Drosophila melanogaster: one gene and its partner. The protein of the gene in region 2 interacts with the protein of the main gene of each other region in a pairwise test. Each region holds a gene or a part of one and is shown on either strand. Other genes may lie near its edges. The genes, in order: Rift and CG7910.

Region 1 (6,766 bases), about 24 Mb from region 2:
CGAGTGGATACAGTTCCCACGACATTCCTACATATTCCCCAACAGGTGGTCTGGCAGGAGGAGTGCGCAACCTGAGCGGCCAAAAACCGAAGACCGCGATCCTAATGCTGAACATGGGCGGTCCGACCCACACGGACCAGGTGCATGACTACCTCCTGCGTATTATGACCGACCGGGACATGATCCAGCTGCCGGTGCAGAGCCGTCTTGGTCCGTGGATCGCCCAGCGCAGGACGCCCGAGGTACAGAAGAAGTACAAGGAGATCGGCGGTGGTTCACCGATTCTTAAGTGGACCGAGCTGCAGGGCCAGCTCATGTGCGAGCAGTTGGACAGAATCTCCCCGGAGACAGCACCTCACAAGCACTACGTCGGTTTCCGCTACGTGAATCCCCTCACTGAGAACACGCTGGCCGAGATCGAAAAGTGAGTGTAGTCGAGAAGTAGAACAAGAGTGATGTAAATAATCCGAAGGTCGTGAAATTGACCTATATATATTGCTACGGACTCTCACAATAAGATATGTTCTAGTAAATAAGTTTGTATAGACTTCTGACTTCTTATGCATGTTTCAATGTCCTGCTATTATCAGTTGACTTCTTGGACAAATTACTGAAACCTAAACCTGGAAATTATGGTCATTTGCGCTACTTAAAGAATACATGTTAATATTTTAACATATTTACAGGGACAAACCAGAGCGCGTTGTACTCTTTTCACAATATCCACAGTACAGCTGCGCCACCTCCGGATCCAGCTTTAACTCCATATTTACTCATTATCGGAGCAAGTGAGTTAGAAATGCACAATTGCAGCTATTTATTTGATCCCCTCTACCTCTTTAGTAATCTGCCCTCGGATATCAAATGGAGCATTATCGACAGGTGGGGCACTCATCCACTTCTAATCAAAACGTTTGCCCAGCGAATTCGCGACGAGCTGGCCAAATTTGTGGAAACGAAACGAAATGATGTGGTCATCCTCTTCACTGCCCACTCCCTTCCCCTTAAGGCTGTGAACCGGGGTGACGCGTATCCCTCGGAGATTGGTGCTAGCGTACACATGGTGATGCAGGAACTTGGTCAGACGAATCCCTACAGCCTGGCATGGCAATCCAAGGTGGGCCCGCTACCCTGGCTGGCGCCCGCAACTGATGATGCCATTAAGGTGTAACTTTAATGCCGGATTTCCATTCCCATCCACTAAAACCAATCCCATCTTTACAGGGCTATGTTAAGCAAGGCCTGAAGAACTTCATCCTTGTGCCCATTGCCTTCGTGAACGAGCACATCGAGACGCTGCATGAGCTCGACATCGAGTACTGCGACGAACTGGCCAAGGAGGTAGGCGTAGAGGAAATCCGTCGAGCTGCAACCCCCAACGACCACCCGCTGTTCATCGACGCCCTGACAAACGTTGTGGCAGACCACCTGAAGTCCCAGCAGGCAGTCAACCCCAAGTTCCTCATGCGTTGTCCCATGTGCTCCAATCCAAAGTGCAGGGAGAGCAAAAGCTGGTACCGCCAGCTCTGCTCGAACTAAGCAACCAAGTCAACTTGCGGGGGTGGGTAGCACTGCGTGACAAGCGTTTCAAGTGCTGCAGCTGGAGGAGAACATTTATGCATTCATTTGGGTTTCTGGGGGATTGGTTTTCACATACTGGTGTTTATTTCTTTCCGCTTTAATTAAAGTCTCTGTTGAACAGTATAAAAAATGCACAGTTGGTTTTGAAGTGGTAGCTTTGTTGAGAAAACATCTATGCCTTTTCTATGTTACAGCGAAACTATAAAAATGGAATGCTAAAATGTAGCTTTTAAATGGCGAATGCCAAGCGAGCTTGCTAACTAATATACTCTTCTAGGAACACAATTTATAAGTTCCAAACCCATAACAAAACAGTTGCGCTCTATAAAGAGAGCCAGCAGTACTTTAAAATGTTCTCTTATCTTAGTCACGCTCTCGCTCTGTCGCACGTGCGATGGATTCGGTATTTTTTCGCCGGACGAACAGCTGTTCGACTGTCAGTTTTATTCTTGCCTTCCGATCCGATGTTTATTAAATCAAATTCCACTTTTGAGTGTTCAAATGGCTGACAAAATTTGCGAAAGCTGGTTGTTCTCCCCTGCAGTCGACTTCTTCTGGACACTCTTGCATTTCTCATCGTGTCGCGCCGTCAATGGAACTTCCCGGAATATTGCATAATTGAGACTTCCCAGGCCTTCAAATTGGAACTTCGACTTTGCATTAATTGACGGCTCGCGCTGGAATTAACCTGCCAATTGCCTTCGATATTCCACATTACGCCAATTGAGCCGTTGATTTTTAATAACGAACCGAGGCGCGTTTGGCCACAGTGGCCTGGATCGGGAAATCTAATCGCCGCGGGGATCATAAAACAATTCGAAGAGCACACTCCGACTCCGAATATGAGCAGGTACCACAGAGGCCGAGGAGCTGGTAGCCCCACGAATCCAGCGGGGCCAGTCTACGGCGTGATCTCGACGTTGGACGACGCCACTCCGAGTCCCGCGGATTTCGCCAGGTAAGCGAGCAATTACTGCTTTCACGTTTTATTTGCGCTTGCTGAGAGCGAAAACCAGTTTGGGATCGGGCTTAAATGCTGCGGGCGGGCTTTCTTTCCATCCCTTTTTCCATATTTGGCAGACTTATATTTTACGACCACATCGTTACACAGCAACTATAAAACAACCATTGGTGTAAAGATAATTTGGAAATTTTCCGTATTTATTTTCATTTTTGTTATCAGCTTTTCTTGCCATAGTCTTGTACTTTACTTGGAAACACTGTTGCTGTAGTTAAACTGTAACTTGGAGTTTGCAAATCGTATGAATTTGTAAAACAAGTTATATGTATTCATATCCAGTAAAAAGAATCAACACATCATAGTGGAAACCCTTTAGTTATATTAGAAACTTTAGTCCTGCTTCTCACCTAAGGAATCTCTTTAGAGATTAAATGAATGCCTACCAAGTTCCCGATTGTGATTCTTATCGTCTTCAGCCAGATACGTGCAGACATCGAATGGCCACAAATTAATTGAGTTAGCAGATTAGATGAAGATCGTATGTGACCGATGGCACACACTTAATATCACATGAAAATAAGATTAGCACAGAGATATATCCACTTTGGTATATCCAAAAGAAATCAAAGGTGCATTTTTTTTTGTTTTCTTTTTTTTTTTAAATGTATTAATGGGTGCCTCCAATGGGAGTACAAAAGCAGCATTTTGTTAATTTGAAAAGCTGTCGCTTTCGGTTGATTCTATACATTTTTTACAAGATTCGTGTGAGGTTTATAATTATTATATACACACACATCCATTCCACACGAATGTAACGTAAAGCCACAGAACCATTTTAATCGTATTCGCTCGGTTATCTGTCCGAAAGACAAACATAATGAACTGTAAATGCCATATGCTTGATAATGACTTTTTAAGGCTTATCTGAACCATTGAGAGAAATAAGCCCGTAATTGTGACTTGGGTGCCATAAGCCTAGGCCACTAATAGTGTGCAAAGTTGCATGCTAAAATTAGTTTTCGTTAATAAATATTCTTGAAAACATTGGGTGTTTAATTACATCTAGATATTCACAATGTGAAAGGTAGCTAATTTTTGAATTATTGCTAGCTGTTTATATAGGTTATAGATTATATCTAATCTCTTATTCATTTTACAGATGCTCCTCTCTCGAGGCCAAGAAAAGTGAGCTGAGCTTGTTCCTTAACTGGGGAGGCCCACAAAAAAATATGGAGATAAGCTCGAAGCTAAGAAACCGCAGCTGGCTCGTCGACGTGCTGGCCATCTTCTTTGGCATAGGCACCTGGCTGGGCGTCAATGGCACCTTCATTCAGCTTCCCCTGCTGGTGGACGAGGCACCAGAGGGCTGGAGTCTGCCCTCTTACCTTAGCGTTATGGTCCAGATTGGCAACTTGGGCCCACTGCTCTACACTGCCATCCAGAAGTACTCGCCCAAGAAACTAAATGATGGTTGGACCATTCACGGAGTGCTCCTGGTGGGAGCTATATCGTGCTTGCTGACGGCGTTCTTCTACAACCAAACCGCTTCGGTCGCTGGCACGGATCACAGCTTAGCCCTCTTTTTGCTGACCTGCTTCACGGCGTTAAATGCCTGCACTAGCTCGGTGCTTTTTATGCCCTACATGGGACGCTTCAAGGAGCAGTACATGGTCACCTACTTTATTGGCGAGGGGCTGAGTGGTCTCCTGCCCAGCGTGACGGCTTTGATCCAGGGCATCGGCGAGAGTGGCGACTGTGTACTGGTCAACGTAACCGAAAGCGGAGAGGAGGTCTACGCGCTGCGGAAGACACCTCCGAGATTCGATACCCGTGTTTTCTTCCTTATCCTTTTCGCGCTCATGGTTCTAGCCTATGTGGGGTATGCACTTCTGAATTCCCTCCCCTTGGCCAGAAGGGAGTACGCCCAGGTTACCGTCAGTGAGGGCAACAAGTACGTTTACGGAGAGGCGGATAACCAGCCAAAAGCGGAAAAGCTGAGTAAAGGCCAGTACACATACCTCCTCCTGCTAATCGGTGCGATTTCGCTGTTTAGTAACGGAATGTTCGGCAGCATACAGTCCTACTCCAGTGCCCCGTACGGATCACAAGCGTACCACTTAGCAGCCACCCTCAGTGTGATAGCCAACCCGGTTGCCTGCTTCATGGCCATGTTCCTGCATTTTACCTCCCTGCGGATTATCACGGTGCTCTCTATCCTTGCGGGTCTGCTGACCAGCTATGTTTTCACCACGGCGGCTCTGAGTCCTCTTCCGCCACTTCACGACCAGACCGTTGGTGCCGTACTCGTGGTCACAGCCTGGACTTTGCTGGTAGGGATTGTGAGCTACACGAAACTGGGAATCACCACGGTTATGCGGGCGCAGGGCGGACAATCGCTGGTCTGGGTGGGCGCCATCACGCAGCTAGGATCCGCTATCGGAGCAGTGGCCATCTTCTTTGCGATCAACTACTCAGACCTTTTCCAGGCCGCAGAGTCGAACTGCTAACCTCGCCAGAAACTCGACGCGGCCAGGATTTCCAGGGATGCATCGTGATTTTAAAATTGCTATTACTGTAGTTTAGTGTGATATTTTAATGTGTATTTTCACCTCAAGTCACAATGAAGACAATACCTACCTGAACTCGCGCTTTTTTATACAACAATTTGCAGTTGACTTGCAACCCTTCGTAGTTTTAAGTATAAAAGTGGATATCAACATAATGTACATAGGACAAGAACAAGAATCCGAAGTTTTAAAAATTATAAACGTTGGCTTCTAAGTAAAAAGATAAAGTTCGAACCTAATGTCTTCCCTTGTTTTGATTTAAATCCAGCAAAAGGTGCTTTGAGTTATATATCTCTGATATGAAAATCAATTTTCTGTATTTAAATATTAATTTGAAGAGGTATTATTATAGTGCCTTTGCCTGTATATTATTTAAAGTTTAATATGTAGTTTTGACGGATTTACATCTTTCTTATACCAACTAAAATTTATTTTTTCTATAATCGTCCTTTAAATTCTTACTAGGCATTGAAAAGATACTCCTAAATGCAACTAATTTGTATTAATTGTGTTTAAAGCTTGCTCTTTACCAATATCAATTTTTTACCGATCGGCCCTTATATCCGCCCCCGATTCGTTATTGGACCGCTCCGGCTGCTCTACCTCGCTGTCTATGTCCCCCTCGTAGCCCGAATTTGTTTTCGAGGCAACGGGAAGGGGATTGTGCCCTTTAGACAGGAAGGACTCGTCCAAGGTGCAGCAGCTACAAAAGCACTCCTTAAAATGACGGCAGGTATCCCCAAGTTTCTCGGGGGCCGCCTCTAAGACCTTGTTGAATGCTTCGATCTTCTCGCGCAGGCTGCGGCTGGCACTGGGACACCCAAAGAGCTGACTTCCTTGTGGAGACGGCCGTGAAGATTCGCTGCCAATCTTCTCTAGAAAGCCGAGAACCTTCTCCAGTGAGTCTCGGGCACGTTTGAAGTTCTCCTGGCTCTCCCGCAGAACTTGGCTTTCATTGAGGTGCTCAAATTCCACCAATAGACCTTGAATCTCGGTGAGGTCAGAAGGCAAACTCATGCCCGCCACGGCGGAGGTTTGCGGGGCGTTCACAGCATTAACCGTCTCGAAACCCACGATCAGTCGCTGTATCTTGGAGGCCCCGGCGCGGTGGCCACACCTCGCGAGCTGCATCATGTCGTTCACATCGCCCACCTCCTTGAGCAACTGCACCGACGACTGCATTACCTTCTGGTGCTCCTGAATGCCCTGCCGCAAACGGTCTTGCAGGTTGTGAAGGTATAAGCTGAGTTGACGCACCTGCTCCTTTTCATCGAAATTACTTAGAAAGACTGGGAGGAAATCAGGAAGGAGTAAGTTTACCTTTGAGCATATTCAAATGTTACATGTACATGCTAAGTACATGGCATTACTAGAGAGGAGCTTTAATTTAATATTATTTAACACCTACGGTCTTACCAGGAATTATATTTTCGCTCTCTGATGCTGAATTATTGTCGGCCATTGTTAAACGCTTCAGTCCACTAGGGATCCCAAAAATCACTATAAATTTTGAAAACTGGTGACAAACCGTGACTTTAATTCAATCTTATGCCAATGTAAATCTCTAAGGTAAAATGATTTGAAAAAGTGTACACTGTTGCCTATTATCACGGTTTTGAGCCACCGCTGCTCTCCGTTTTTCGATCGCCTTGGTCCC
Region 2 (10,714 bases):
GGACATTAGTTCGACTCATAAATAAAACAACAATTTTACTGGCGCAGTCGGTAGGATACAAAAGTATCCGAAAAAAAGAACCTTCGAGTGGAAAATAAGTTAAATTTTATAGTCCAGTGCTCGAAACATCTCCCAAAATAAATTCGTGAAAACTCTTCAACTTGGATTATAATTCCAATTCGGTTATCCAATAATAAGTGGAAGTGAAATACGAAACAAAAATATTAAGTCCAAAGGCAACTAAGTTTTAAAACCAACATATAAAAATAAAAAATTAAAACAATATAGAATTTTAATAATACAACACAAAAATTTACAAAACAAAAAAAACAAACAAGTGAAACTAGAAAGCTTAAAAATAATAATAACATTGAATCCGAAACAAAACAAAAAAATAAAACACAAAAGTTAAAAATTTTACAATAAAAATGTCACAACCAATTATTGCGCTGAGCGACATAAACCTTGCCGAAGCCCGTCGGCAGCTTAAAGACATTATGCCATTCAAGGGTGATCCAGAAACCCTTCACACCTTTATCAGCAGAGTGGATTACGTAATTTCGCTCTACCAAACAAATGATGTCCGACAACAGAGGATTCTACTGGGAGCCATCGAAAGGAACTTGGACGGACAAATTACACGATCTTTGGGACTTCCGAACATCGAAGATTGGCCTACCCTTAAAGCAAGACTCATCGCGGAATTTAAAATTCAAACACCAAACTACAAACTTCTGGAGAACTTCAGGGAGACACCATACAGAGGAAGCCTAAGAGCATTCTGCGAAGAAGCGGAGAGACGACGTCAATTACTAATTTCGAAACTACACCTGGAAGGTAACCAATCGGATTTTCTTATTTATATTCAGGGTATTAAAGAATCTATTAAGATACTGATAAGGAAACTACCAATACAATTATTCACTATTTTAGCCCATCACGATATTACAGACTTAAGATCCTTAATTACCATTGCACAAAATGAGGGAATTTATGAAGAACACATTAATTTTGAATTTTATGAAAAACCAGAATATCGTAATAAAAATTCAAATTCTAACCAGAATTCGAAAACACAAAAATTCAATACAAATGTTCAAACTCAAAATCGACCAAGTTACTCACAATATTCCCAACCCTTCCAACCTAATTTTAATCAATACATTCAACCATTTAGACCTAGCTATACACAGCAGATAACTAACAACCCACCCATGTGGCACGCACCTAATTATTTCAGACCCAACCAATACATAAACCCACAACCCATTATTCAAAAAAATCATTTCCAACAATATCCCAACAAAGCCCAATTTCCCCAAACAACGCATTTTAGAGGAAATACATACCCTCGACTACAACAACCCTCTACATATAAAAATACTAACTTCCCGATTACTAAACGACTAAGACCATCGGACAGTGAACAAACTAAAATGTCTATTGACGAAATTAGATTCCAAGACGCGCATGAATTCGAACAAGTCCAACCTAATTATTACGAGCAACAGTATTTTAACCAAAATCAATACAATCCGTATCAAAATCATAGCTTCATTAATGAAGGGCAACAACAAGTCCAATCTGTACAAATTAATAACAAACAAAACCAAAATAATTCTGAACTAAACGAAAATTTTCGGTTAACAGCCCCGGAAAATACGGAATGCAAAAAATACAGAATTATGAAAATAACCACACCATCATTGACAGTCTTTTGTTCGAACTAATGCAGTTTACGGAATACATAGAAGATTTGGAAATGGCTATGCAGCTTTCCAGACTTGGACTGTTTAACCCCAAATTACTAAACTACGACAAACTTGAAAATGTGAACAGCCAAAACATTTTGAACATTAAAACATCCACTTGGATTAACTACAATGATAACCAAGTATTAATCATATCCCACATACCCATTTACCTTTCACTAATAAGCACAATTAAAATAATTCCTTACCCAGACTCCAACGGCTATCAGCTAGATTACACAGACACACAATCATATTTTGAAAAAGAAAATAAAGTTTATAATACCGAAAATAAAGAAGTAAAAAATGAATGTGTCACCAATATTATTAAACACTTAAATCCAATTTGTAATTTTAAGCCAGTACACACGAACGAAATAATAAAATACATAGAACCAAACACAATTGTAACCTGGAACTTAACCCAAACAATTCTTAACCAAAATTGCCAAAATTCAATTAATAAAATAAAAATAGAAGGAAACAAAATGATAAGAGTAACGCAATGCAAAATAGAAATCAATAATATAATTTTAAGTGAAAATCTGTTAGAACCAGAAATAGATTTGACACCACTATACACACCACTTAATATAACAAAAATAAAAATTGTAAAACACAACGACATTGTTAAGATGATTTCAGAGAACAATATTACACTTTACATACAAATGATCATTGTAATAATCGCACTAATTTTGTTGTACTCATATTTAAGATATGTATCATTTAAACCATTTATGATGCTGTATGCAAAACTTAAAATAAGAAAAAATCAAAATCAAAACACACCACAACAAACAGAAATAGAAGAAACTCCATTTCCCACACTATATCCATCAATCCCAGCCCAAGTATAGGCTTCTCTTTAAGGGAAGGGGAGTGACGTATTTGGGTGGTCCAAACCAGCCACTTCCATTATTTCAAAGAAATCAGTAATGCACTCTAGTAATTTTCCATAACGTATCCCAGCTGCGCAGCATTTGTTTATCTTTGGCAGCGCAGCCGTTCTTGTAAACATCCTAAAGCCTGACCTAAGCAGATTTGACTGCCCTCTTTCAACGCTACCTAATCTTAAGAACCCAAGAGCGAGGCTCTCCCGAAATACAAATATTGTTCAAATACTGAGGCTTCTCCTCAATCCAATTTGCATTTGATTTTTAGTCTTAAGCTGAGATCCAAAGAATAAAGTCGTGAAACTATTTCTCCTAAAAACTATTTTTTATTTCTTGGCGTTGTCCTTAGTCAACTGACGGGACATTAGTTCGACTCATAAATAAAACAACAATTTTACTATATAGGGTAGGGAAGGTGCTGATAAGGTGGAAGGAAGAGGTGGAGAGTTTTTTACGAAACGTAAACAATTTCGCAGCGAGAGTGGAGTGATTGACTAAGAGAGGCTATAACTAATTCTCTACACTCGCGGTACCGAAACACTGATTGATTCGGGATCTCACTCTTTTACAAAGTCTGGAATAATGGCGGTTAGAATCCCCTGGTGCCTTAGATCTTTCGGCAATGCGGTGAGTACTTCAAAAAGGAGTATTTTTAATACTAAAGAAAATAAATTTTTAATTCTACGAATAGAGTATTTTATATTTTGATTTAACATTTCATATTATTAGCATTATTCGACTTCAAAGTTCTCCCTGTCAGATACGGAATTCAAGTCCTCGACACCCTCATCTTGGTCCGAATCCTCATAGATTGGTTGCACCGATGAATGATGACCACCAAAACCAGGTCTAGTGGTCCTGTGATAGCTCCCATTTCGAATTGGGGCTGGGTTACTCCAAGCAGCATGGTTTATCTCATGATTCACAAAAATGTTCCCATTTTCATCGGGACTTGTCCTTCTTAAGCTATAGATTCCTGGCTCGTCCTTGAGGGCAATCAAACATTAAAGCAATGGCAAATTAAAATTTTAAGCACTTACGGAAATTTCAATTTGGTTTTCCATAGGATTGTCAGTCTGCGATGGAAATGTAATTGACGGGGCTCAGCACATAATGCATTATTTTTGTACTCACTCTATGTTGTCTTCGAAGCCTAAAAATATTACCCATTTCAATGGTTGTAATTGCAAGGTTGATTAAGTTGATTAAAATGCGAAGATTTCAGCTGAAGTGCCGATAGACGTAGGATATTCTATCGCTTCGCAGAGTGCCCATTTGTCTTAGATATCGATTTTGAGTCAAGCTAACGTCAATATAACGTTGTTGCAGGTCAGCTTTAGAGGGACTGTACACAAAACTAAAAAGTTATATTGATCTATCGAAAAATGTTATGGAAATAAAAAAAAAAAAAAACACTCCAATATAAACAAATATTGGTGGTCATTTATTAAACGAAGTTCACTTTAATCTTCACAACTATATTAGCACTTTAAACAAAATTTAACCTTTAACCTTAAATGGAAAACTGAGCAGGTACCCCCGATCCTCGCTTGGTGTTTCATGTGTCATGTGGTACCGGTGGCACCCAGCCGTGAAAAACGGCCTCCAGTTCGGCGGCGACCTTCAGGCAGAGTTTGTCCTGATATTGGGCGGCCACCACCTGCAACCCTATGGGCATTCCCCGTTGATTTGTGCCCATGGGCACATGGGTGGCGGGCAGACCAAGGATGTTGAACAGCAGCAGATTGTCGATCCCCGTCACGTTTAACAGCGAGGTGTGAAAACATAGGGCGCTAGTGTGGAAGGTGGGCATGATGAGGACTCCTTGGGTACCAAGCAATTGCTGTGATGGGTTTTAAATGGTCAGTATAACTTCAAGAATGATTTAATTCGCTTACATTCAGATGGCTCTTTATTTTCTGGGCCTCAACTCGGTATTCTTCCATGTTTCCAGTGGCCATAAGGCCGTTGAATCGCTTCATCACCTCCAGTACCATGGCCTCTTTGGTGAAGATTGAGTGACCTATGATGCTGTTGAAGAGTTCCACCATCAGCAAACGCATCGATGGATCACGATCCGCCCGCTGTGTTACGATACTGGGCAGACCCTTCAAGTCCACCAGGGAAACCAGGGCAATCTCGAGAGAGTTTCTCAGGAATTTAAGATCCAACTGATTGGCAAAATAGCATTAGGTCGAGAAACTCTACAAAGTTGTACTTACCTTCTTGGACTGCACACCTCCTCTTTCCAAGCACGTGACAGCTTTGGTGATGGCCAGTTTTATGTCGAAGTCCACCACGGGATGGGTGAGGCAGTTAAAGCCGGAGTATCCAAAGGCATAGTATACCTAAGCGAAAATAAGCTTTGACTATTATACATTTCCTAGTTTGGGAAATCTCACCTTCATGTCCTTCAGGGCAACTGGTTCAGACATTTTCAGTTTGTGTTTTTTATCGCCCGCCATTATTTCCAACAGCAAGGGCAAATCCCTGGCGAATCTTGTGATGGGACCGATCTGCAGCATCTCGGAGAATTTCTTGTCCGTCAACGAGTAGGGGAAGTGACCCTTGACCGACGTAAGCCCGCCAGTGGGCTTGTGGCCAAAAACGCCGCAGAACAGAGCCGGCAGGCGAATGGAACCACTGATATCGGAGCCCACACCAAAAGTTGTGGCTCCACAGCCATTCAATGATGCCTCGCCGCCAGAAGATCCGGCGGAAGTTCGTTGCAGATCATATGGATTCAAGCAACGTCCTTGGATATTATTGCTGGTTTCGAAACTCATGCAAAACTCTGGATTGGCAGACACCAAAAGGGGTATGCCACCAGCAGCACGGACCAGTTCAACCACATCGCCGTCCTGGGGGGCTTTCATATTTTTGCGAGCAAGACTGCCCACGGCAAAGGATAATCCTATTAACCAGTGAAAAATATAAGTTTCTGCTATATTTTTAGTGATTTTGAGTATCTGAAACATACCTTTAAGACCACATGACTCCTTGACAGTAAACGGTACACCCAGTATGGGATACTTGGTGTACAGGGCCACACGATCGAACTCAGAGCTCGCCTTTTCGATGAACTGATCTGCCAATTTTGCATCTTGGAGGGCAGCCTCGAATCGATCCTCGACAACGGCATTCAGAGAAGGATTCACTTCCTGCACACGTGCTATATAGGCGCTAACCAACTCCACCGAGGTGATCTGGAATCGAACCCCGACATATATGACTTGCAAATGTCCCACACGAATGACGCGATTGGACTTGGAGACTCACCTCGCCGCGTCGCAATTGGGTGACCAATTCAACGACGGACTTCTTCAGCAGGGGATTACGAATGCCCGAAAATTTGGGTTTCTGACGGGGCAATACAAAATCTAGAATCTTATTCACCAACATGCCAAAGGCATTCAGAATGAAGGCCAGCAGTCGTAGAATGATCTCCATGTCGAGCAGGCGTTCGGGTCACAAAAGGTTGGGGTATTCAAATCACTGGACTTTGATCGGACCTCAGCGTAAGTGGGTTAACTATAGCTGACGTTGGTTTGCCTAGGAGGTGGTATGGGGATCGGGAACTGCTGCTGCACCTGGAACACCACCGAACACTTCGACTGCGGATCGTGGACTACGCGTGGCGATTGACACTCGCACTTATCGTCCCTTGTTTTCCATTTCAATTTGAATTTAATTTCAAAGTTAGCTCGGGTTGGCATTAACCAACACTATATAAACTTTGGATGTTCTCGTTTTCGAAAATCATTTTGAAAAAAAAAAATACTTAAAGAAAAAATAGCTCTGGCTTTTAACTCAAATTAATTTAAAGAATTCAATTAACAATAATTTAAAACCAATTGAAAGTAGTCGCTACACTTCTAAAAATAAAATCATTACTTACCTAAAAAAAGCGTCACCCTTCGTATCATAAAAAATGCAATTATTCATTCATTTATTTATTTAGTAATAATTTTAGTTATTGTTACACTTATCACTTACGTGCTAAATGGAAACGTTCAACAAAAGCAAAAACTTGTTTAGCACATTACTCACTGGAAAACGAATCGAATCGGCTAACGAAACGGTTAACAAATAACAAAGTACTTCAACCGAGAACAAAGATTTTCAGAATGAGAGTGAACTCAGTTAGGCAACTTGGCAAAGGCGCTAAGGAGACGTCTATATATCCGTATAAGTATAAGTTGCTGGCTTGCGCAAAAATTGACATCTATGTAGCTATATGTATGTATCTTCGTATGCTCTACACTCATGAATATTCAAACAAAACTCTTCAACTTGTCTGGCATATATCCATAGACAATTACGCGGGTATGTATGCTGGGTTTTGTGTTCTTAAAATCGTATATCTGCTGCAGGATTGACATCGAACTGCTTAACCCCACGACGGCAACCATTCGTCGAAAAAGTTTGAACACAGTTTATATTTTTGCAATATTCTAAGTACTATAACCTACCAAAATAACTGTAAAAGAAAGTTTCTATGAACGTTTGAAATCAAAATTAGGTCCGATTTTGCGTAGTTTTCGACAAAGTGTCACCGTCAAAAGGGCTTCGACTGGCATATCCCTCAAAGGGTTAACATGCTTTTCTTTGGTCTTCTTATGGCCTACCCCCTTCATATGTCTGCTTTTCATTGATATATTCTGCGGAACAACAAAAGAAGTATTATTCTATATTGGGATATGCTTTAGAGTTTTGGTTTGTAGGGTTTTCTAGTCTCGGTAAATGTGTATATCTTATGCTTAATTTATTTTATTAGCTATCATATCATATACTTTGCATGGTTATCATAGATTGGTTATTAACATTAAAATATTTATTGTCTAAAACATTTCGCCCCGCTTAGTGCCACTCTAGACCTATGTATGCATCCCAAATCGGATTGCTTGTTTTCCCCCCCAACGATTCTAACTATAGCACACACCTTTGGCTACTTACAGATAACTCTTCCCTGTCCACCGATTAAATTTTGAATTTAATAAGTGTTTGATTCTAATACTTTGCTGATGGTCGAAATCCAGCAGATATTCCATTAAGCGGAGCACTTTCGTTGGGTATGTATAGAAAACTTATGGGCCTAAGGAGGTGTAAGGGGTTTGGGAATGGAAAAGTTTGCAAGGCGCCAGACTCTCGGGGCTCTGAAGTGTCTGGTCCTTTGCGCAAGTGCAGTGCAAAATGGAAATCTATCAGGGATTTAACTCAACCACCAGCAGCTTAACCACTTCAGATCCCCAAACCATCTTAGGTCATGTGCAGATCCCCCTTGAGGATCCGCGTAAAGGTCTTCTTGAACTGCTGATTGGCCAGAGCGTAGCAAAAAGGATTCATCGGGCTGTTGGCGTAGCAGAGGAAGTACGAGAACATGTAGAGGTGTTCATTGATGCAGGGCGGATGCCGGCAGAATCCCTCGACGAGGGCCAACACATGGTAGGGTGTCCAGCAGGCCACGAAGCAGCCCAAAATGAACGAGATCGTGCGAAACGCTTTGCGAGCACGATTCTCCGACTTGGACTTCTGCCGTCCACCCACTCCAAGGATCAGGGGTAGAGCCTTCTTGCTCTTGAAGTGCTTTCCTATCGAATGAATGAATGCCCTTTTGCTGGAGTTTCGGCTGGCCGCCAAACTCTTCTCCTCCCTGTTGGCATCGTCATCCCCCGCGTTCTTTTTGGTGGCACCAACACCGTCTTGTTCCCCGCCTCCACCCACACCGCCCGTACTGCTGGTGGTGCCCGAGGTGGAGGGCATCTTGTTGGTATTACTGTCCGAGGTTTCTCGCTCCTCAATCCTTTCCAGTGGCACCGGTGGTGTTACACCCGCCGCCGACTGGGGCGTTCCCGTTTGTGGCGTTGAAGTCTTTACCTTGGGTGAGAGTGGCATTGGTGGCATCGGGGAATAGAGTATGGCATCCTTGCTGCTGGTCTCCATAGGACTGGAGGCCCGGCGATGGGGACAGTCCGCAGCTAGCTTTCCGGGCACATCCAACAGGCAGATGGCCTCAATGCAGCTCTCCCGCCTCACCTTAGCAAAGTCCTCGATTCCTGTGTACGAGACGAGAAGACGTTTTTCAATGGCCACCGCCTCCTCGATACTCTGACTCTGACTCTGGTTGTGATTCGGATTCAGGTTGAGGCTCAGGCTTTGGCTGGGACTCTGGTTTTGGCTGGGAGTTTGACTGAGGCTCTGGTTCAGGTTCGATTTTGGTGGATTTCGGCGTGCGGGCGGTGGTGGAGGCAGGACTGGTGGTTTCCCCTGGACGCTGTCATTCGGGGAGGTCGTCGAGTTGGCCGTCACACTGGCCAGCATGGCGGAGCTCTCGTCCATATAGCGTAGCTCCGAGTTCGTCATCAGGTCATAGGTCAGGGCCAGTTCACTGTTACCGGAACTATTCCCAAAGGGACGATCCGAGTAGTCATCGGAGAGCGGGGTGGGGCACTGAAAGGCGTCGGGAGGTGGCAAAATGGTCTGCACCAGACCCTGATGCACTTGATCGCTAGGGACCTCGATGGGTGCCAAGTCCACGGGGGACAGGGGATCACTGGTGTTGAGTAATGTTGGAGGAGCGGACAGGTCGACCAAACGATCATGCTCGGCTATCTGGGACAGTGTGGAGCAGGATGTGCGCTTGGGCCTGTCCAGCGGTGGGTTCGGCTGGTTTTGGTGGTGCTGGTGGTGCGGTTGTTGCTGGTTCTGGTGGTGGTGCAGGGAGCGCATCTCTTCCTTGCTCTGCGCCCGCTGTAACGGACTCTGGTTGTGATGGTGCTGTTGGTGGTGGTGGTACTGGTGCATGGCCTCGATCGACTTGGAGTTAGTGGTGCTCTTCTGCAAGTTACCTTTGCCACGAGTGGCCAGCAGGGCGGCCTGTGCCCCAAAGACCAGACCAATCGATGACCGCTTCCTCATGTTGTTCAATTTCTGCTGGGTGATCAACTGCTGGGCCTGGTTGACGGATGATTCCTCATCGGAATCGAAGGCAGGACTGCTGGATCTCTCGCTCTTTTCCGCATCCACGGCTGCCTCACGTTTTTTCGCCTCCTCCTGGATTTTTGCTGCCGACGCTCTCCTCTGTTCCGGTGTCATCTTCTCCACTTCCTCGGTGGCCACGGCCAGAGGATTTGCCTGACCGGAACCACTTAATCTCTTAATCACTGTGGTGCAGGCACTATCCAAATCGGTTTGATCTCCCGCAAGTTCCACTTTGGTCTTTAGGATTTTCTCCTCAATCACACCAATGCCAGCTGCATGACCTGCCATTCCGGACATCGCTCCAGCACTCAGTGCCACCATGGATTGCATTTTCCGTTGCTTCGCCTCACTGCGCTTTTGCATATCATAGGCTGTTTTGTAGATCCCGGCATATAAGACAAAAAGCACAATTAGTGTGGTCCAATAGTAGCCAATGATTAGGGCCGTATTAAAGATCGGATCCTTGAGAAACTGAACGGCGCACTGGCCAGGAAGTAGATCCCGCTTGCCGGTGAAGTGCTCCCATCCAAAAATCGAGATGAAGAAGAGCAGAGCGGGAATGATCCAAGTGATTGTGACCATATATATCACTCTGGTTCTCGTCCTCCAACTCCGGTACTTGGCGGCAATCTTCACAGAGCAGTAGCGATCTATCGTGATCAACAGCACCGTGTACTGGGACACCAGACACACAGTATAGTCGACGGAAAGCCAGAGATCGCAGAGCATCGGACCCAGGTCCCAATAACCCTTGAGCACGTATATCGTGTAGAAGGGCATCGAAACGGTTCCTGAAATATGGGTTTATAGTACAATTAATAATTTTTTTTTTTTGAATTTAAGGTAAAATAGTTACTACCTATTAGCATATCCGTGGCTGCTAGGGAGGCAATAAAGTAGTTGCTGGGCTGCCGAATATTCCTGTCCACGATGAAGGCCAGTAGCACCAGGATATTACCGCCCACCGTAAGAATGATACAGATCGCCAGGCATATGGCTATCAGGATCGTCTGCCACAGTGCAAATGGTGGCAAAACAGGACCAAGAATCTCCGAGTCGGAACTGGATCCCGACATGGTGGAACCG

The links.
Region 1: the proteins of CG7910 (region 2) and Rift interact in a two-hybrid assay, tested with the Drosophila melanogaster proteins (one large-scale study listed by BioGRID).

What each region holds. Positions count from the first base shown.
Region 1 is NT_033777.3:31,805,399-31,812,164, reverse strand, and holds Rift (riboflavin transporter), read left to right. Parts: upstream 1-1,978; 5' UTR 1,979-2,423; coding exon 2,424-2,539; intron 2,540-3,701; coding exon 3,702-5,049; 3' UTR 5,050-5,298; downstream 5,299-6,766. Other genes in the region: FeCH (ferrochelatase), read left to right, coding at 46-424, 687-788, 844-1,165, 1,225-1,539; CG1971 (uncharacterized protein), read right to left, coding at 5,653-6,398, 6,526-6,571.
Region 2 is NT_033777.3:8,082,925-8,093,638, reverse strand, and holds CG7910 (uncharacterized protein), read right to left. Parts: upstream 6,388-10,714; 5' UTR 6,098-6,387; coding exon 5,927-6,097; intron 5,854-5,926; coding exon 5,628-5,853; intron 5,562-5,627; coding exon 5,050-5,561; intron 4,996-5,049; coding exon 4,870-4,995; intron 4,819-4,869; coding exon 4,546-4,818; intron 4,491-4,545; coding exon 4,206-4,490; 3' UTR 4,113-4,205; downstream 1-4,112. Other genes in the region: mAChR-B (muscarinic acetylcholine Receptor, B-type), read right to left, coding at 7,907-10,419, 10,488-10,714.